4 linked regions of the Drosophila melanogaster genome follow. The protein of the gene in region 1 interacts with the protein of each later gene in a pairwise test. Each region holds a gene or a part of one and is shown in the gene's direction. Other genes may lie near its edges.

What was found.
Region 2: the proteins of Aldh-III (region 1) and CG14042 interact in a two-hybrid assay, tested with the Drosophila melanogaster proteins (one large-scale study listed by BioGRID).
Region 3: the proteins of Aldh-III (region 1) and PyK interact in a two-hybrid assay, tested with the Drosophila melanogaster proteins (one large-scale study listed by BioGRID).
Region 4: the proteins of Aldh-III (region 1) and saturn interact in a two-hybrid assay, tested with the Drosophila melanogaster proteins (one large-scale study listed by BioGRID).

What each region holds. Positions count from the first base shown.
Region 1 is NT_033778.4:7,473,922-7,479,432, reverse strand, and holds the start of Aldh-III (aldehyde dehydrogenase type III), read left to right. Parts: upstream 1-2,270; 5' UTR 2,271-3,186; intron 3,187-3,873; 5' UTR 3,874-3,938; coding exon 3,939-3,993; intron 3,994-4,052; coding exon 4,053-4,091; intron 4,092-4,773; exon of another isoform or gene 4,774-4,861; intron 4,862-5,302; exon of another isoform or gene 5,303-5,511.
Region 2 is NT_033779.5:5,035,369-5,041,462, forward strand, and holds CG14042 (uncharacterized protein), read left to right. Parts: upstream 1-2,340; 5' UTR 2,341-2,753; coding exon 2,754-3,389; 3' UTR 3,390-3,742; coding exon of another isoform or gene 3,743-4,372; intron 4,373-4,440; coding exon of another isoform or gene 4,441-4,692; 3' UTR 4,693-4,751; coding exon of another isoform or gene 4,752-4,808; 3' UTR 4,809-5,450; downstream 5,451-6,094. Other genes in the region: Col4a1 (collagen type IV alpha 1), read left to right, coding at 1-840, 1,109-1,369; SP555, read left to right, coding at 3,743-4,372, 4,441-4,659, 4,752-4,808; CG31650 (uncharacterized protein), read right to left, coding at 5,514-6,094.
Region 3 is NT_033777.3:22,367,223-22,373,488, forward strand, and holds PyK (pyruvate kinase), read left to right. Parts: upstream 1-2,059; 5' UTR 2,060-2,301; coding exon 2,302-2,343; intron 2,344-3,555; coding exon 3,556-4,945; intron 4,946-5,003; coding exon 5,004-5,160; intron 5,161-5,246; coding exon 5,247-5,259; 3' UTR 5,260-5,524; downstream 5,525-6,266. Other genes in the region: CG7069 (uncharacterized protein), read left to right, coding at 6,015-6,266. UniProt on the Drosophila melanogaster protein: Enzyme of the glycolytic pathway. Glycolysis is essential in glial cells but not in neurons; neurons rely on the citric acid cycle for their energy needs, and on lactate and alanine secreted into the hemolymph by glial cells to fuel it.
Region 4 is NT_037436.4:14,201,424-14,205,222, forward strand, and holds saturn (saturn), read left to right. Parts: upstream 1-1,899; 5' UTR 1,900-2,010; coding exon 2,011-2,229; intron 2,230-2,288; coding exon 2,289-2,786; 3' UTR 2,787-2,871; downstream 2,872-3,799.

The sequences.
Region 1 (5,511 bases):
TCATCTAGTTTGATTTGCTCTCGATAGATAGGCGAGATCGCGTTTGGCACACCCAAAAAGCATCTCAAGCATTTTCACCCACTCAGCATTCTGCATTCTGCAATCTGCAATCTGCATTCAGCAGTATTCAGCATTCAGCATCAGCGTACATACATTCATATGTAGGGGCGTGCGGGTACTAGGTACACCCACCAGTAAGCAGCTATTAAGTCCGAGTAAGGCGATAAATCGAAGTCTAGGAAATCTACCAAATCAAGCGACGGATTCAATAACGAGTTGCAGTTTAAAATTGTAATTGTGTAGTAGTGGAAAGCGAGGAGGAGGTCAGAAACAAGCGCGGACCACGGGTGCGCCACCACCTGGTGGCTGCGTGGTCTGGCACTTTTCTATATACATGCATACACATACATATTTATATACCCGAATATATATATATATATATATACAAGCGTACATAGGTGTGGACTTGACGAGACAAGAGTAAGAGTATATTTTATACGATAAACAAATTTTATAACATATTTAATAATAAATTATACACTAATAATTGTGGACACTGCTCTGCGTTTTTTTCTATCTCACTTGAACACTTGAGTTCCACAGCGCAAGCCTAAAGATAGGCTACTGTATCTCACGGGTGCATAAGAGTTCAACTAGCTAATGGTTCCATATGAATGCTTACAATGGATTGGTTGAATTGAATTGAAATTGAATGGGAACAATCAATATATTTCTGGGTTTTGAAGCCAATCTAAGGTAAGTAACGTACTCCCGGTTGGAGCTCGAAAAACTGAGCGAAGATGTGGATTGCATACGATCGTTCAATGAATCTTAGAATGGATTGATTGAATACCTCGATATGTAATCATGATTGTGATTGAAATTGATTCGGAGCAATTACTTCAAGTCATTCTACATATCTGGTTATTAAAGCCAATCTTAAGTCAATTATGGGTTTCAAACGTAATTGAAACATTATGATACCTTCGAATTGGTTGATAGAATGATTAATTTCAATCTTAGTTACTTTCTGACACAAAGATAAGGCTTTAGCCCATAGATATTTACTTCTCAAATGCCAGCATCTTTAGCTGCCTCGTTTAATGGGTGATGCCGTCACGCGGACCCGGAACCTGGGTCAAGGCCACGCTTCCATCTCCATAGAGCCCACATACATGCGACGCAAATGGGTTGCGGGCATTGTCGAAAAAGTGCCGAGCGGCCATTAGAATGACAAAAGGAATCGCTAAGTACGCCGCTGGGCATAATGAGACTTGGCGAGGCAACTGAAAAGTTGGAATACTATTTGGAATCGCATCAATTGCGTGACTACAATTGCGGCAGCTTTGTGTGCAAAGAGCACCATTCGAAATCACTTTTACAATTGTTTGCTGGCCGTAAAGTTGGGCAAAGCGAGCCAAAGTCCACCGCCAGCTGGTAGCGACCAGCTAATTTCAGTGGCGAGAACAGGTAATTACGGCATTAGAATCCGGACTGATATGCCAATTGGCAGGTTTACTGGACTAAACGCGATCTGTTTAATGGATCTCAGCTCTCGATCTCAAGCAGACGACGTCTGGCACTGAGGTTTTTGTCCGGATCTCATGGTCAGGGTGCGAAGCTGTCCGCTGTGATTCGATGCAAGTGAATACTTATCAATAACCGGTTATTTATTAGCCGTCACTTCACTTGCTGGCTTCTGCCGCAAAACAGCTGCTCGAAATAACAAACACCTGAAAGGCAAATAGTTTATTGTTTACGGGACGATCTTTAGCCTGGCTCGCCCTATTCCTAATTGGCTAGGGCATCGGGTACAGGCTGCACTGCCTAAATAGAACTGATGTCAAATCTCAAATTAAAACTACCTTCATTACAGTCATAATTTCTGGTCAGTAGTTATATCTTGTGCCCTTAACTTTGCTTCTAAATAGCATTTAAAGAATGTAACACTTTTATAAGAGTTTTTTTTTTGCTGTAGCACAGATTTGTTACAACTTTACTTCATGATAAAAAAAAACGAGTCTAGTTGACGAACCCAATAAGTTGCCATGAGCAACTATCAAAAATGTGGATTTAATTTGAGGAAAAACAGATTTTCGCAGGCGCCCAGTTTGTAAATTGGCAGTTGGTGGTTCCAGTTTTTCCAATTAGTGCCACTCTTTTGCAATGTGACAAACGCCTTTTAAACGGCGTGTTCGTTGCACAGAAGCCGGACTGTATCGTCATTCGGATTAGTAGAGAGGTGGCTGGCATCCATCACCATTATCTGGTGACTTTGGGCCGGGAATGCGTGTGCATCTGCGACCTGTGATTAGCGCCGAAGACCCCCATTAAGAAATTCAAATCAAAAGTCGAGATTTGAGATTTAAGATTCGAGATTCGAGATAATCAAGAACGCGAAGAAAACTGAAACTGGAAAAGCGACGACGACTGCGGGTACGGGCCAACTTGGAGCGCTTAGCCGGGCTTAGACGTGTTTCGAGCGCGGCGGCGTCAGGTGAATCCGAGATTCAATCCTAATTCGAATTCGAATCCGAGTGCCCGGTGCGTGTTCAATACGCTTTTGAATACAGCGACTTGTTTGCTGGCTAATTTTTTTTTTTCGAGTGGCGGGCTACGCATACAAATTAGACCAGCACATAGTGTCCATGTGTAATTAAGCGACCCGATTCACTGTAAGCCGCTCCAGCCGAAGTGTGGTCGAGTGCATCGGTCCGGCTTTCCGCCTCCAGATACACGCGGCGGTGGTCAACGGCCAGTGGCCACTTGGCAGTGCTCCGCCACTCAAATCAGTTGGCTTTCGGGCGTTATCGCGCGCAGATTTGCTTGGATTTAAACCAAAGTACCGGATAGTGGTTATTTAATCTACACTCGCGCTTATTAGCCAACTGCGTTGACAATTAGCCGGCCCAGATGCTGGAATGAAAGTGAAACTGGAGACGGAAAACCGAAAACCAAATCCAGTCGAAGTCGGTTACATGATAAACGCCATGTGAATATGTTGTCATACAGAAACGTGATCCCCTGTGCTAATCAATTCAATTCGCATTGAATCATCGAGTGTGTTGGCCAACAGCCATATTTGCATGGTTGAACTTGAAACTGATTACTGATTATGGAGTGCTGGTGCATTTGGGTGTTTTTTCATTGATATATTGTTGTTTCAGCTTTTAAAGACTTCAAATCGTAAGCTTGAATTGTATACGATTTGTTTGATCATTTGCAATTATTTTATTATGTTTATCCCCAAGTCAAAATGTACAAATATTTATGAAAAGGGATCAAACACAGCTGCACTTTCAAATTAATAAAGAAATTGTCGAGTGTCACGACTATTAGATATCCATTACTGAGCGCGAAGAATTCTACTAATAAATACGCAGTATCCAACTTGCTTGCTATTGTAGTTTCCCAGAATTTCTTTTACATTTGATCCCTATAAACTTGGAAATTCTATTAAAAATTCGACTTATAGAAATCCATATTTTTACAAGTATTGTTGTAAACTATTATTCGTAAGGAAGTGCAAAGTTGTGCCATAAACAATGGCGGAAAAAATATTACAATCTAATATGAATACTAGAAATATTGATCATCTATTGTAATATTTCTTGTTTAGACAATATTTCAATCTTTAGTTCACCTTAACCAATTGGCGGGCCAAAAAGCTTGTGTAAGTCAATGTGGAATTTGTGAAGGATTTCGCCAGCTGGTTATTTAATTGATTTTCCCACGAGGACAACTTGACAAATTGACATTGATTTTCATTTGGTTTGCTTAGTTAAGTGTGCAATCTTCTTGTTCGGACATTTGCCACTTAATAGTTAGTAGTTAACCACATTTACCACATTCGTTTCCTGGGAATCCCTACAGCTTTTGTGCTATTTAAAAGTGTCCCCAATAGCGAATTTATAACCAAACAAAAAAACACTACGATAATGTTTGACAACGCGATTAAACCTCATCCGGAGGCCAATGGAGCTCCAATAAATGGTAAGCTAATGAAAGTCTTACTTATCAAAATGCCCGATTTTATAGAGTTTCCGTTAAAGCAGCAGGAGATCGGCCGATAACTACTGTCATTAATATTGGTGAGTCAAAAAGTTCGTATGCCACAAAAGCTTTGCATACAATGTGTATAAAAATAGAAGCAGTACTCAGAGGGTGAAATCTAGTTTTTCCTGTACAGCTTAAAACTTGATCAAAAACTAAGGGGTTTTTAAATTATATGCATTATTGTAAAGTCCAATAATCTTAATAATCTTAATAAGCGTGAAAGCTTTTATAGGACACGCATGTAACATCATTATTTAGCTAAAAATAACTTAAAATCCTCAAACACATTTAGTTTCACTCATGGTGACTCCGTCATATATTGTTTAATCGCACTCATTGTTATATGTCATTTGTTTAATCGGAGTCACCGTTACCAAGCACTATTATCGGAAAGTATAGAAGTGCGATATATAAACAAATGCGTTCGGTTTAAAGTGGGGAGTGTACTATGTCCAACTAATATTAACACCATTGATATTAGCAGATTAGGCTGGAATAACGTTCAGAATGCTCTGAACTTGTGTTAGCCGAGTCCAAAACATACTGATTCGTTATCGGAGCGACACGCTTGACTTTCCCCATCCGAAATCCAGTGTCCATATCAGTTGGTATATAGCTTATGTATGTACATTCTGAACGAAATACACATGCATTCAGTTCTGATAATGAATGCCAGCGGCCCTAGTCGAGTATATGTTCGGTTCGTGGAGTAACAATCCACTCAGTGTCGACCGGCATTTGCGTTGAAAAGGTGTGTTCTGTTCTCGGAGAGATTAAAATAGCGAATTCAGAGTGTTTTTTTTGGGTAAGCCAGCTGTTTTCTGTGCACCGACTGGATATGCTTATTTATGGTGCAATTAGGTTGCGCCATTTAGTGAACAACCAGTTGTTTTCGTTGGAAACGAGTATTACTCTTTTGCAGTTGTGCCAAAATAAATAAGTGTTTGAAAAACTGTTACGTGTTTGCATAGTTTAAGTTTACCGCTATGGAAAGTTACAGACTGAACGACATTAGCAAACACTGGATTAGCAGTGACATGAACCAAGATTAACTTAACACTTACTATTGTTTTACAAATAAAACGAAAACTTAAATGTTTACGCCAATAGACTGTAGTTACATCCCGATAATTTTTAAAGAACCACTTTAAACTTTATTATTGTCGAAATTTACGACTGTAGCTCGTCTTATATTAGGCGCCCTTTGGCACTTTTTAGCTACAAATTCGAAGCCCAGCGCGGTCACACTGGCAGCAAGTTTCGCATTCAGATCCGATCCAAATCTTGAAATATACAAGTTTTGTTGTCGCGGTGAACGGTTGTCAAAGCGCGTCAACTGCATGCGTTTATATCTTTTTTCTTCCTGCTGACGGTACCGAAAAGTACACATAATTTTAACAACAAACAGAAGACGCACAACCGAAACAACGGTAGATGCGTAACGAACGAAAGTGA
Region 2 (6,094 bases), on another chromosome or scaffold:
GGAGATACCGGCTACCCTGGCTTAAATGGAAACGATGGACCTGTCGGAGCTCCTGGCGAGCGCGGCTTCACCGGGCCCAAGGGACGCGATGGACGCGACGGAACACCAGGTCTGCCTGGACAGAAGGGTGAACCAGGAATGCTGCCACCACCAGGACCCAAGGGCGAACCTGGTCAGCCGGGACGCAATGGACCTAAGGGAGAGCCCGGACGTCCGGGAGAGCGTGGCTTGATTGGCATCCAGGGTGAGCGTGGCGAAAAGGGTGAGCGCGGCCTGATCGGTGAGACTGGTAACGTGGGACGACCCGGACCCAAGGGAGATCGCGGAGAGCCAGGCGAGAGGGGATATGAGGGCGCCATTGGTTTGATCGGCCAGAAGGGTGAGCCCGGTGCTCCAGCCCCCGCTGCTCTGGACTATCTCACCGGTATCCTGATTACGCGACACAGTCAATCGGAAACGGTGCCCGCTTGCTCGGCTGGACACACGGAACTGTGGACGGGTTACTCCCTGTTGTACGTCGATGGCAATGACTATGCCCACAACCAGGACCTTGGATCCCCCGGATCCTGTGTGCCACGCTTCTCAACGCTGCCCGTACTGTCGTGTGGTCAGAATAACGTCTGCAACTACGCCTCCAGAAATGACAAGACCTTCTGGCTGACAACCAACGCCGCCATTCCGATGATGCCCGTTGAAAACATCGAGATCCGCCAGTACATCTCACGTTGCGTCGTTTGTGAGGCGCCGGCTAATGTGATCGCCGTGCACAGTCAAACGATAGAGGTGCCCGACTGTCCGAATGGCTGGGAGGGTCTCTGGATTGGCTACAGTTTCCTCATGGTGAGTATCGGAACACTTATAACGTTAGATTATAGAAGAATGATGAGAGTTTTCAAAATCCACAAGGGATGCGTTTCCGAAGTTTCCCTAGCTTTCCAGCAGATGGCGCACGTTCCAACGACACTCTTGCGCCATCTGTTGGATACTGCGTAGCGAAAGATTTGATACAATAGTTTTAATTTTCAACCTTTATTCCTAACTACTTGTGGGATTTTAAATAGTTCTTTTATAATGATGCTAATATTAACCCAACCATTTCCTATAATAGCACACTGCCGTGGGCAACGGTGGCGGTGGACAGGCGCTGCAATCGCCTGGCTCCTGTTTGGAGGACTTCCGTGCAACGCCCTTCATCGAGTGCAACGGCGCCAAGGGCACGTGCCACTTCTATGAGACGATGACAAGCTTCTGGATGTACAACCTGGAGTCCTCACAGCCGTTCGAGAGGCCACAGCAGCAGACGATCAAGGCCGGCGAGCGGCAGTCGCATGTGTCCAGGTGCCAGGTGTGCATGAAGAACTCCTCGTAGGACCTCCAATCCCAACACAGACACACCCACAGCACAGAGCATAAGTTTAATCTAAATGTAAAGCCTTAAAATTACCAACGAATCGTGTGCACACCCACACGATCACAACACAAACACAAACAAACAAACCAACACACACACACACATACATACACCGACGAACCAACACTGCTACAAATTCCTTAATCTAACCAAAAAGAAAAAAAAACGGATCCACAAGTCGAAGTGCTAATTACCGACCGACCTGGACCACAATGCCATTTTTTATCTGCCAATTAATGTTCTAAACAAATGTAAACTGCTTCTAAGTTACGTTACGTATGTTAAGTAAATGAAACAAATAAATAAACTAGCCTCGGTCGTATGTCCAAAAGTATAAAATAAACTATGTGCCAGCATGTTCCATTTATTTTTGAAACCGATTAAATGCGAAACAATGCAACAAAACGCGGTATCGAACGAATATCGAACGAATCGAATCCTCAACTGCTATACAAAACTTGTCGCATATCGTTTTAAAATAAACTAAAATTTATAAATACAAATTACGACCACAATTTCATACAAGCCTATTTAGAGCAAATATTGTTGAGGATAAAAAATCGTATGCCCTTCAGTGATAAACTTCCTGCAAGACAAATACTGCATACTTTTTACCCCTAACATTGAGTGATAAGATCTTCCTCAAAAGACCAGGGCTAAGGGTAGGCTATTGTGGTGGAAACCCCGTCGCGGAGAACCCTTAAAAAAGCAATGCCAAGCCAAGGATGAGAGCGAACTCACCTCGTGCACTTGTGCGCATGCCATTGCCTCTCTTTGTGCGGATTTGCGGTGGGGGAGGGGGTTGGTTAGCTGTCAAGGGGGTGGCGATGACGATTGGGGTCGCCGTGGACGGTTTGCGGGGCATAAAGTGGGGTGGACCGAGCCATATGATAATGATATGCAGACACACACACGCGCACAAAGTCCAATTGGTGGTTGGAAGCAGGTCGTGGAAAATAAGGGTAGGCCTTTGTGGGGCGATTCAAGTTGGAATCGTAAAAGTGAGTTGGAAAAAAAGTGCCAGAAGCCAGTGTGACTTGGACGCAAGCGGAGGCGGTCGTCGGTGGGAGTTGTAACTTCAGCCAGATAAGAGGAGCTGCTTTTTGTAGGTGTGGAGGAGCAGCAAGACGGAAAAAATGTGTGTACCTCGAAAAAAAAAACAGTGAAAATTGCGAGCTCTCGTTTGGAAAGCAGCGTGAAATTTGCATAAACTAACAAGACCACAAAGCCAACGGGAAGTGCACCACCAAAATCAGAGACTCCCAAGAAGCAGCAGTCTTCCGCCCCACCAAAAAAAAAAAAAAAAAAAAGGAAGAGGACACACCACCACCCCTACATATTTATGATTATCGTCCTGCTGCTGCTGTTCCAATCGCTGTGCCTCTACTGCCAACGCCTGGTGCTCTACGTCCACGACCGATGCTTCCCGAGGAACGTGCGCCTGCTGCAGGAGGTGGCCGAAACGGTGGGCGATCGTAAGGCGCCACAGCGCCTGGCGGAGCAGCAGCTGGAGCAACAGAAGCGCAGCCAGAAGCGTCGCATCCTCGAACCAATCCTTCCGCTCGTTGGTGGCCTCAATTCCGAGGCCTGTCGATTTTGTGCTCACAGTCCGCAGGGCTACTGTCGCCATCACTTCCATCTGCAGGAGCTGCAGCTGCACAGGCAGAGGGGTTCCGGTGGTGAGCAGGATTTCCGGCAGATTCGCCGAATCAAGCGGGAGCTAAAGCGGACTCTTGGCCAGCAGCAGCAGCAACTGCAACCGACGAGAAGCTATCGTCCAGTCCGACTGAGTGCCAGCTGGAGCAGCAGTTCCCTGAGCAGTGGTTACGCTTCACTGACCAGCGTTGGATCGCAGGAGCAGGAGGAGGCGTCCTTCGATCAGGATATTATTGAGGACGTTCCACTGGAGGAGGAAGCGGAGCTGCAGGACCTGCCGCAGGAGGATATCCAACAGCCCCTACTAACCACTTACTTGTAGATAAACGCCTCTTGGTCTCATCCTTGCATAAAGAATCATCCACTTGGAGTTCGTCTGGAGAACTGAAGAACCCTTCATAAAAACTATGCTATAAAGATGTATTGAAAAAAATTGTATAACATAGTTAACCACCAGAGAAACGAAAGAACAAACAACTACGAGCTAAAGACGCCACCCCTGAAGCCGCTCCTTGAACGATTTCAACAACTTTTGAGACCTGGAGAAGCTCATCAACCCCAGGAAGCCAACCCTATTGAAAACTTAACCCCCCCCCCCCCTCCCAACAGTTCGAAGGGTTCCCTTTGTCAAATTGATACAAATTGAGAAGCGAAAAAATTTCTAGTCGCAACACAATGTCTGATGTTGAAGTGGATCCACAGCAGGCTCACCCCCATCCCATAGCGGCAATTGCCCCGAGGAGACGTCGTCCAACCGGTCGACGAGGAGGAGTAACAGGAGGGTTGTCGTCCGGTTCACTGGATGCATCATCTTCCACATCGCCGCCACCCCGTTTCTGTCCGCTGCCCAATGGCGTTGAGGATAACTGGACGTGGAGCAAGCGGCACCGCTCCAAGGAAGTGGTGCTCAGAGGACCCAACTCGCGGACCGTGCACTTCCATCCCAACTGGAGCAAGGGCACTGCCGGTGTCCAGGGCAAAAGATCCCTGAATAACGGACGGCATTACTGGGAGCTTCATGTCTCGCAGCGCGTCTTTGGCACCTCGATAATGTTCGGTATCGGTACCAAGTCGGCACGGCTACATGCCAACGCCTTCCGGAACATGCTGGGCGAGAACGAACACGGCTGGGGACTGTCCCACAAGGGCGTGCTCTGGCACGAGGGCGTGGCCCTGCTGTACACGAAGCGGTTCCGCGAGAATCAACCCACCCAAATTGGCGTTCTCTTCGATGGCATTGAGGGCACACTCACCTTCTACAAGGATGGCAAGTGCCTGGGCGTTGCTTTCCGCGGATTGGATCAGGTGAGTCCGGTTGAATTGTTCAATCCTCCAAGGATCAGGCTCTAGAATCTCGCCTAACTGCCCAACAGATTGATGAGCCCCTGTACCCCATCGTATGCTCTACTGCCGCCAAAACGGAGATGACCCTAAAGTGCACCAGGAGGGAGTTCGTCAACCTACAGGATCGCTGTCGGGCGGTGATCATGCGCCGCGTACGAAGCGCTGCGCAGCTGGAGAAGCTGAAGCTGCCGCTGCCCATCGCCGACTATCTGAGCGAGGTGATCGACGAGAAGAAGCCACTGCGTCAGGTAGACAACTACGATATACTGTGTGATTTGTAGAGCTCGGATCGTGTCCGGTCAACGTAAGCTAAGTTTATAGAGTACGTCCTCGCCCCCAGGTGAATCAGCTGGAGATGTGCATTATGAATTACGATTTGTATGAGGCCCGTGAATGATTTTAGTGCCATCACATATTGGAGTGCCCAATGACTACCAGACGATGCAGTGGCTCCTCTGGGACGTGTGCATTTCTCGTAGTAGCTTTAGAGCGTGCTAAGTTTAAGCATTCGGAATTTGTGTGGATAATAGTCGTCCGACCTTTTGATTTGTCTTCATTTGTAGCGAAAATGTGGGAAAATAGGCCAATTTGGTGCAATATTTGTGATATAAGAAATGAGAAAAACGTTTTTCGGGGCTTCAAGTGCTTGCTAGAAAATCGCAAAATAATCTAGAGCTAAGCATATTTTTCGGTACAGACGAGTGTGAAATCTAGTCAAAAAGAACACGCTGCTAAACTAATTTTGTAAATTCGCAGACAGCAATTAAGGCCTAAGTACTGTAATGTAACAAAATGAAAATGTGTCTAGTCATAAATTGCATATAAAGCAAAGTGTAATTTAGTAAAAATTATTTAGTACGCTTTATGTAGATTTTTGTTTCTGTTTATATAAATTACTACACATAATGTAATTGATACATGACGAAACAAACGAAATAGTATTGAAAATTAAATTCGTAAGAAGTGCTCAAAAGAATTTGGCGATATTGATTTGCAATTGTCACTTGAATTTACATAAATAAACATAAATTTACTAACTATTTAAACGAAATACAATACTAAGCACAGGTTCACTATAGCACGATGGGGCTTTGAATGGCATCTAGAGCTCGTCGGAGAGATGGTTAATGTTTTGTAAATGGTCGCCGTAGTCGGTGGCCTCACTGCCCACAAAGGTATCGTAGTTGTTGAGTATTTCCAGGTAGGACAGGCGATCGTCGTGATCCTCATCGGTGGAGACAAAGAGATGGTCCACCTCGTCGTTGGCAATTGCCGTATTGCTTGGCACAATCCAGGATAAGACCTCATCGCCCGTCAGCACGCCATCGCCATTGGAGTCGTGATCCTTGTCGAAGCGCTCCTTCTCCGTGATCAGCCACTCCTTGTCGTGGTGCGAGGCTGCGTCGCCGACAAACTCCTGGAAGTTGATCTTGCCATCGTGATCCGCATCTTTGTCCTGCATCGTGTGCTCCAGCAGTATTGGCAACATTTGTGGATGCTCCTCGGGATTTTGGAATAAAACGAATTCCTCCAGCGTCAGCACACCATCCTTGTTCGTGTCGGCCGCATTGAACATCTCCTTGTCCTGCTTGATCATCTTCTGCTCATCCTCGTAGCTGTCGTAGTCGATGGTCTCCTTCTTGAAGTCCTCATCCTCCATGGCGTATGTGTCCTGGAGATACT
Region 3 (6,266 bases), on another chromosome or scaffold:
AAAGCAAAACAAAAACAAACGGTTCCGGGCGAATGGCTACCGCTGCTAAGAAGAAGCTAAAAAATAACAAAAATCACAAACCAATTTTAAAAATATAAGTTTGTTCTATTAAAAATAATACTTTACGCAACTGAATAAATGAGGATAAATAAGGAGCATATGTTTTAGGCTTTATTACAAATTGCTTTAAATAAAATTTAAAGCTTTCCGAAGACCCCAAATGTTATATCGTGAATCTGGTATGTATATACCAAATGGTATTTATTTTAAAAACGAGTGGCTTTTTTAGGCTCATTGGTGCCAACTGTTTTTTCGAACAGATCGCCGGACGCACTGTTTCTGATTGGAGTGTTCGCTGCCTGTGCATTTAAATTGAATTAAAATAATTCCAAAACAGGAAGAGCAAATACATCTTTCCGCGAGTTCACCTTTACTGTCAAAAACAGGTAATTATCAGATCTTCTTGATACGACCTCAAGCTAAACATCATTCCATTATAATACGCTAGAAATTTTGCTAACGAAATTGGCGGGGGCAAGACATTTGTTTTTGCTGTTGTTGATGATGCAAGCAATTTCTCCACATTATGTAGAATTGCGTTTGCCGCCTCACAAAACACATACACACAAGCACGGCTGCGAATTCAATTCGCACACCCATACAATCTCAAAAGAACCTCGTTAGCGAAATGTGTAAAGGTGAAATAGAAGTCATTCCATGCGGAGCGCGCCACAAGTAAAATAACCTACACCATCGCAATCACACCCTATTAAACATGCCATCGGAAATAATGCAGCAATAATAATCTTGAACCGCTGTAAACTTCCACTATCGCAATTGTTTAATTGCTCTGTGACGACGACGCTTTCAGCGATGATGAGTAATTTTGCATAAATTTGCTCTGTGCCGGATTGTCTGAATTATATTTGAAATTTTGTTGCTGTTTCGGCGTCTCAGTGATAAGCATTTGTTGTTGCAGACCCGAGCTTCAAAATGTTAACGGCGCTAACGTCCTTTATCCACAAGTTCAAGGTTAAATAGTACGGCACATAGTACTCATTACATATTGACTGAAGCCTGGAAAAGCACTTTCACTTTCAGAACTTTTCTCGTGCGTTTTCCGGCGACAAAAGCTGCAGGCCGGCGAGCTTTACTTGCACGGTTTCTGCGCGTGTCACTCACGATGAGCGAAAGAGAGAGCGGAAGATAAAAGGAAAGTAGATGCTCACGCACTTGCATAATGGCAGTGCGAGCGAGACGAAGCTGTTTTCTGTGGAGGAGATTAGGTTGTCAAGGTCAGCACAGTGGAATTCTAGGTGGAAGTGGGACAGTTGGACAGTGGGCTCTTTTCCGCGTTGCTTTTTTTCTGTATTGCCAGCTGATAAGCGCCGTCTAACAGCTGATGATCGGTTTTTTGTTTACCACGCACACACATACTGACATCACGTGTCCATATAATCATATATACACATACTTCTGTACAATGCAAATTTATATGCAAAAATTAATAATCGTAATGGATCGTTGAACCTTCTGTTCTATCCGATTGCCGGCCAGCCTAGCAACGGAGCTTTGCGCCAGTTAACTTCGGAGCTTCCTTTTTGGATAAACTTTTCGCATCCCCTTACGCGAAGGGAGTTAGGGTATGTTGGCACAATAGCATATCTTGATCCTGCTAAACACTTTACTTATACTTAAATATCGAATGATAATTTGAGCCTCTATCTTTTCCATTTGATAATATCTTTATTAATTTTTATATGCAGTATTGTAAGATTAAGGTTATATTTCACTCGGAATTATATTGGGAATAGCGGTAAGGCCACTTGGTCGACTGAGCAGCTGGCAGTCCCTGGTCGAGCATACCCTTGAATATACCCTTCTTGCTCGCTCACCAATGTTGTCTCTTTAGGGGTGGCCTGTTGCGTCCGCCTCTTGCCTCTTGGGCCCAAACTCTCTCTCCTCTGCGTTTATGCTCTCTTTGCTGTCGGGCTACCGACATTCTGAGCGCTTTTTCTGCGGCTAGGAAAATTTCCGCTTGCCAAAAAATCTGTGTGGCAGTCGAACTTTTTGTCTCGTCCTCGCCGCGTCCGATTTTCCATATATCCCGATTTTCGTCTCAAACTTGGAAGATATATTGCCAAAATATTGCATTCGGCTAGCCGCTGCGTTGTGTGTGTTGTTGTGCGTGGAGTTGCGTGTGCAGTTGCAAGAAGATATAGTCGTCTATATCGTCAGACCGATCTCGATCCCAAGTGCGATTCCCGTTGGTTACATACTACCCGTTCGGTAGGCAACAAAATGGTGAACGTAACCATCTACGATGAGGCACCGCAGCTGAAGGTAGGCCAATGTCACGGTAATGGAAGCCCCCAGAGTTGGTCCATAAAGATATTCATAATCGCCATAATCAGTTGGCTGGCGAGTTGGCCCGATATCAGAGTCATTGGGGAGGAAAATGTGGGAAAAGACAATTATGCAACTGCAGCTGAGAAAATTCTGTCGGTCGCGGTCGGCAGAACTGACCTTCGGCGGTGCAGATGTGCAGCGCTGCCGGTGTCGGCTTCGCTGCACACTTTTCTTCCGCCTGCTGCTTTCTCTCTGCCACTCTCTCTTCCGCTCTGCCTTTCTCAGGTCCTCTCTACGGGGGACACCCCTAACCACCCACGCCCATCCACTCAAGCACTTCAAGTACACGCACTTTGTTTACATCAGCGAATTCTGCAGCGACAGCTTTGCGTTTTTCAAAACATAACATGCACAGTGCGAATAAATATTTTGATAATTTAAGCAATCGTAAGAGTTAACAAATAGTATTTAACGCAACAGCATCATTTAATATTGGTAATCGATTATAACATTTTATATGTCAAGTTTTATCAATGGCTTATTTACACATGCTACTAAGTACCATCAGAATGATAAAATACTGTTAATATATAACGTTATCATTTTAATTAGGATTATTAGATTATTTAAAATCATTACCTTTATATGTAAATAGCTCTATTTTATCTGTCAGTTCACAAATATTTCAATCATTCCTTTTGGTCATGAAAAATGATTGGTGCGGCGAGCATTTGGGCTTAAATCGCCGTATTTGGCCCGTTTGGTTCTATTTATAAGCCGGTGGTAAACATTTAATTTGGTCGATAAAAACTGTATCGATTTATATTCGTTGATATGAAGAAGGGTTATCATGAGTTTTGCACGCATTCGCCACGTTTATGTTGGGGTCCTAAATGTGTTTCGCATTGCATGACTTCACCAGGGCATGATTTTAATATCATAAAACTAGTTGGTTTTTTTATTTTTTGCTAGAACTTGGTAGTTTTTAAAACGCGTAGGGTTTCTTGTTGCTAGGAAGAGACTTCTGATTATTAGCGTAAATTGGAAATAAATGCTTAAAATCAATAAACACGACTTTAACCTGTTTTATTGCAAAAGTTGGCAATCAGCGTGTTGATTTCTAAAAATAAAGAATCAATTCGCGCTGTTTATAAATATGAAGAGAAATGAAAACAAACAGAATTAAGTATAGTTTTCATTTTGCAGCCCAACGAAGTACCCCAAAACATGGCCGCAGGAGCTGATACCCAACTGGAGCACATGTGCCGTCTGCAGTTCGACTCGCCAGTGCCCCATGTGCGTCTGTCCGGAATCGTGTGCACCATCGGACCTGCCTCCAGCAGCGTGGAGATGCTGGAGAAGATGATGGCCACCGGCATGAACATCGCGCGCATGAACTTCTCTCACGGATCGCACGAGTACCATGCCGCCACCGTGGCCAATGTGCGCCAGGCGGTGAAGAACTACTCGGCCAAGCTGGGCTACGAACACCCCGTGGCCATTGCCCTGGACACCAAGGGGCCCGAGATCCGTACCGGTCTGATCGGAGGCAGCGGCACCGCCGAGATTGAGCTGAAGAAGGGCGAGAAGATCAAGCTGACCACCAACAAGGAATTCCTGGAGAAGGGCTCTCTGGAGATTGTGTACGTGGACTACGAGAACATTGTCAATGTGGTGAAGCCCGGCAACCGGGTGTTCGTCGATGACGGTCTGATCTCACTGATTGTCCGCGAGGTAGGCAAGGATTCCCTCACCTGCGAGGTGGAGAACGGCGGCTCTCTGGGTTCCCGCAAGGGTGTGAACCTGCCAGGCGTGCCCGTCGATCTGCCTGCCGTCTCCGAGAAGGATAAGAGCGATCTGCTGTTCGGTGTGGAGCAGGAAGTGGACATGATCTTTGCTTCGTTCATCCGCAACGCCGCTGCTTTGACCGAGATCCGTAAGGTTCTTGGCGAGAAGGGCAAGAACATCAAGATCATTTCCAAGATCGAGAACCAGCAGGGCATGCACAACCTGGACGAGATCATCGAGGCCGGTGATGGCATTATGGTGGCCCGTGGAGATCTGGGTATTGAGATTCCCGCCGAGAAGGTGTTCCTCGCCCAGAAGGCCATGATTGCCCGCTGCAACAAGGCTGGCAAGCCTGTGATCTGCGCCACTCAGATGTTGGAGTCAATGGTGAAGAAGCCACGTCCCACTCGCGCTGAGATCTCTGATGTGGCCAACGCTGTGCTCGATGGTGCTGATTGCGTCATGTTGTCTGGTGAGACCGCCAAGGGCGAGTACCCGCTGGAGTGCGTCCTGACCATGGCCAAGACCTGCAAGGAGGCCGAGGCTGCCCTCTGGCACCAGAACCTCTTTAACGACTTGGTTCGCGGCGCTGGTACCATCGATGCCTCTCACGCGGCTGCCATCGCTGCCGTTGAGGCTGCCACCAAGGCCAAGGCCTCCGCCATCGTGGTGATCACCACCAGCGGCAAGTCGGCCTTCCAGGTGAGCAAGTACCGCCCACGCTGCCCCATCATCGCGGTCACCCGTTTCGCGCAGACCGCCCGACAGGCCCATCTCTACCGTGGACTGGTGCCACTCATCTACAAGGGTAGGTTTTTGTTTCTCCAGGTCGTTCTTTAAATTATAACTCTGGCTTGTACTTGCAGAGCCCGGTCTTGGTGACTGGCTGAAGGACGTGGACGTGCGCGTGCAGTTCGGTCTGCAGGTCGGAAAGAAGAACGGCTTCATCAAGACCGGCGATTCCGTCGTGGTGGTTACCGGCTGGAAGCAGGGCTCCGGCTTCACCAACACCATCCGCATTGTGTAAGTTTAAATTCTAGCATGTAGATATATATGTATCTGTGCAAAAATTATATCAACAAAACTAACGCAATTATCTATCATTTCAGCACCGTCGAATAAATTCTGCCGCTCAGGAAGTACCTGGATGCGTCGCAGCTGCCGCGGGCGTCGCGTTGATTACTGTTAATAACCAAGTTAATTTATTAATTACACAATATTCGGAATATTGGAAACTGCAGGAGGCTGCTGGAACCGCTGTCAGAAGCGCCGAAGGCCGGCCCGGGCCTCAAACAGACACACAAATATACTATACCATTGTTGAATAATAGAGATTTCTTCGAAAATTATAATAAAGTCATCACTGTATTTATGTACGTATGGAAAGTAATGTGCCATTTTCTCCTTATACTTGGAACCTTTGGGTATTAGGTCTGCATGTACGAGATCCACATCCAGTTCCCTATAGGCAATTGATTTTATTCGTTTTTGACAGGTAACACTACATTTTATTTTTGTTTCGGTGTATCAAAATTTATTCAAAATTCATCCATACGCAAGAATCCTTAGTCCAGGGTCCACAGTGCCCATATGTTCCACTTGCCTGTTAAACCTAAGATATCGCTGCTATGCCAGCAAATGCAAGAAAGAGAAGGTAGGACGTTGTTACGTTGGGAGTCAATCATCCGCTTATGAATTCTTTCCAGAAACCACCGAAGTTCCGACTGGACCGCGGACCATTCGCCTCCCAGTTGGATTACCAGTCGCGACTGCAGTACCAAGCACCTGCCCTGAGTATCCCCCTCAGCAGCATCATATGCACCATTGGACCCTCATCCAACAGCCCAGAAAAGCTATTGGAGCTCATCCGGGCTGGGATGCGGGTCGTGCGTATGAACTTCTCTCACGGCTCTCACGAGTATCACTGCCAGACAATACAGGCGGCTCGTAAGGCCATCGCCATGTACGTGGAGCAAACGGGTCTGCCCAGAACATTGGCAATTGCTCTGGACACCAAGGGTCCAGAGATCCGGACGGGCAAACTGGCCGGTGGCAATGATAGGGCTGAGATAGAGCTCAAGACCGGAGACAAAGTGACATTGAGCACCAAGAAGGAGATGGCAGACAAG
Region 4 (3,799 bases), on another chromosome or scaffold:
AATTTTAAATAATTCTAAATAACTGCCTATATAAATATTTGGAAAATTAGGCGTAAATTTCATTCTATATATGAACTTATATAAAAGAAAATAAGATGATTAGAAAGATTGCTATATTGCTATGTTTCTATTGCGGTTAAAACTGAACCGAATAAGACTATTATTAGATATCCCAATTGATAAAAATTTTTCTTACAGCAATCCTGATAGTTTATCCCAGCGTCGTTGGGGATCCATGAGACAGTAAGCACCCTTGAATATAATTTCTTTCGGGGTTTCATGTAGAGCTTCATATAAATCATAACCCCCATTCTTGCTCCATTTTGGTTTTGGTTTTTTGATTTGTAAATAAAAATATTTATAATTTATCTTAATTAAAAAAATTATTGGTGCACTGCTCCTTAAAAAATATATATATATAGTTTTTAATTCAGTATTTGTCCTCATCACATTTGATGTTTTCACAAGCGTTTCCATGACTTCGCTTATCTAAGATTGTTAATTTCAGCTATAAGTTGCCTTTGGTTTTTTTCCCAATTTTCCATTAGCTGGTTTGCTCAATTGCTTGTTTTTCTTCTGCCTAAATTAGTTATCAGTTTTTCCCATCTTATTCGCCTGTTTCAATTGTTGTACAACTACATAGATGTTCAATTGGGCAATTTTCAAGAGCTTTCCTAACGCTGCCACCCCCAAAAACTAAAATTTATGATTATTGCCGGCGGGGGAGGCTGTCATAAAAGTTACAACCGAAAAAAAAATTGCTCTCTTTTCTGGGACTTAATTGCAACTGAAACCAAAACGAAAGTAAAATAAATATATCAGATTAACAGCATGAGATTTATGTTAGTACAATGAGAGAGCTCCAAGATGGAATCTGCTGCAATTTATATAACTTCCTTTGGCAGTTCTGCTTGTCAACTGGCGACCGTGCTTCCTGCTGCCATCTTCTTGAGCCAAAAGTAGTTTGGCCGCTTTTGTGAACTTTTCTCGGGGACCGAGCGAAAAGGTTGAAGGTAGAAGATGCGGGTCTTTTCTTGTCTCCCCTCAATTTAGCCAACTCCTTCCCTCTTGATGTGGCTTACAAGTTGGCTGACTCGATGGGGTTGTCATGCTGTTGGAATTTATTTTTTCGCTCATCCGATCGGAGGAAGTGAAGTGAGAGGGTTCCAGAAACAGGTTTAACTTGCCGCAATTGTTAACTCTTCAGAATTTAGGCCGGCACTTTTGTCAAGTCGCGAACAAAATTTGACCCAAAATAAAACTCAGTCTGCTGATGTTATCGATTCTGACACATTTATCTCGTATCGTTATGTACTGTTATATACTTTTGATCATTTTGATCATTAAACTAAGGCTGTAATAGTTAGATCATTACTAGAGCATCGATCAATATCGATTAGCATTTCAATTATTAAACAAATTTTTTTCATAAACATTTCTTCGAAAATTATGCACGAAATCGGATAAAGTAATTAAAATCGTCTGCATTTAAGGCGTGTGCAAATCAGTTAACCCCACGCAGGCTATAAATTGTGGTTGCTCTGTCAACTTTCCGGACCTTGATGTTCTTCCCATGGCTTCTACTCTTTTCGAAGCAACTACAACTTGGGCCGACTTGAATTTGTCATGCAAATGCCTTTGTTTTTGCTCCGCTGCTGGGAACATGTTTTTCCCACTCTCTGCACTTGGCATTCAAAAAAGCTGCACTGGGAAATGGTGGGGGAAAATGCATTAAAGAACCGAGAACAATTAGGGAAAATTGTGGGAAGAGGTTAAAGATTTTTATCTGAAAAAGGAAAGGGAATGAGTGGAATTCTACAATTATTTTCTTTAAAAGAACGAATATTTTTCCACATAGGAACATTTTAAATGTTGTCATTTGAATTCAGTCTAGCAAGCAAAGAAAATACTTTTCAAATCACATTATAAAAGTGATAACATCACCGGTTGGTTATCCGTTTTAATACAACCTAAATTACAGATAGAAACTAACAAAAAGTCAGGCCCAAAATGTGGAACTATCGTCAGAAAGTTGATTTGGAAACATCGGTAAAGATATCGCCGTATTGCAATTCTTGGCCATCGGCTTGTTGGTTTACTCTTAAAGGCATTGATTTGTTGAAACTTCTGGTATTGGAAAGATCACCAACTTACCTGGTGATTCTTACGATTGTCCTTATCGTACTCCTCTTACTTGTATTTAAAAGATTCAAACACAAATGGAACGATGTAAGTTAAAGGGGGGGGAAAACGTACAGTAGAAGGGGCTTAATAGGGTTTTGTTCTAGGTGCCTATGTCGGAGATTGAGTCACTGAGAAAACGTGTTAAGTTTGTAACCAAGGATATGGCCATGCTGCAAGAAGCCCTAAATTCGACCGTAATACCCAAGCCGCCGCTAGCGATTTCTGATGATATTAGGAGTAATATTAATTACTTGGATGAACCAGAGTCCAACGCAAATGATGACAAACTTTCAGAATTTAAAGAAATCTTTGATCCTTTCCCCCCAGAATTCGACAAAATTAGTGAAACTAAAGCGCTAGTACGAGAAGAAAATAAACCGGAGCCTGTGATTCCAGACGCCGAACCTCGAGAAGATTCCGTAGTAAAAAATAGGGTGCGATTTGCTCTAACAGATCAGGGAAAACCAGCCAAAGATGAGACCAAGCACATTAATATAGCGAAACCCACGAAGATTATAGCTGAAAATAATGTATCCGTGGAAAATAGAAATATGCGTAAACGGTCATCTCCTTCAAACACGAAAACGGGATGGAAGCTCTAGATCTATTTTCAGGAATTTTCATATTGAAATTTCATTAAAATTGTAGTGCTCGAATTTGTAATAAACCATTCATAGTGATTTGTATAAAACTTGTTGTGATCGTAATTCATTATAGCCCTATGCCAACCTTGACATCTTGCCTTCGCAAGCGTTTTGGCTTTAAGTGATTTCCAATTGTCTTTCGTGGTAATTTTCACCTATTTCATTGTGTATCTCTGTTTTCCCGTGCATAGTTCCCAAGTCTACGTGGTTGGCCCTCAATTAGCCTTAAAGGTGGCCGGCTGCCTAATCGAGGCAGTTTCCAAGCCACTTTGCGGGGGCCCAACATTGTTTGGCAGTTGGCTTGCATTTCTTGGCTATTTGGCAGACCTGGCGACAATTTCCCGTTTTTTTCCCCCTGCATGTATTTGAATTATTTGGCAGCTGAAAACGGCTTGAAAGTACGTCTGTCGCCAATTTGGCTTCGGTTTTAGGTAATTGCCATCTATCTAATAGGTACATGAGAATGTTTATTGTTGGCCAGATTTGTAGATGTTGCATAGTTTTAGTTTTTAGTATCGCCGAACAACATGTTGGCAGCAAACAAGTTGCATGGGAAAGTGTATGGGATTGTAAAAGAGTTGCCAGATAAAAAAGAAAAACAGTACCATCATCAAAGACCTTTCAACATTACTAATGAGACTATAAATGTTGACTTAGGTGGCAACAAAGAATAGTAAATTAAATATTTAACAGTATTGAAATGTTATCTTAAAATATTATTTTTTAGTATATTATTTTAAGAAAAGAATATATTTATTGATATATGTGAAATCGTATTATTGAATGCTGAAAGAAGAGGAATTTGAATGAAGATGATTAGAATTAGAAATTATGTTATTAAATATATAAATTATAAATATTCTACCATTTTCTCTTAGGAATAAGCAAATATATTTCTCCATTTTCATTATAATTATATTTTTTTATGTCACAAATGATTGACATTTGTAAGTTCACACTCGCTGTGTAAT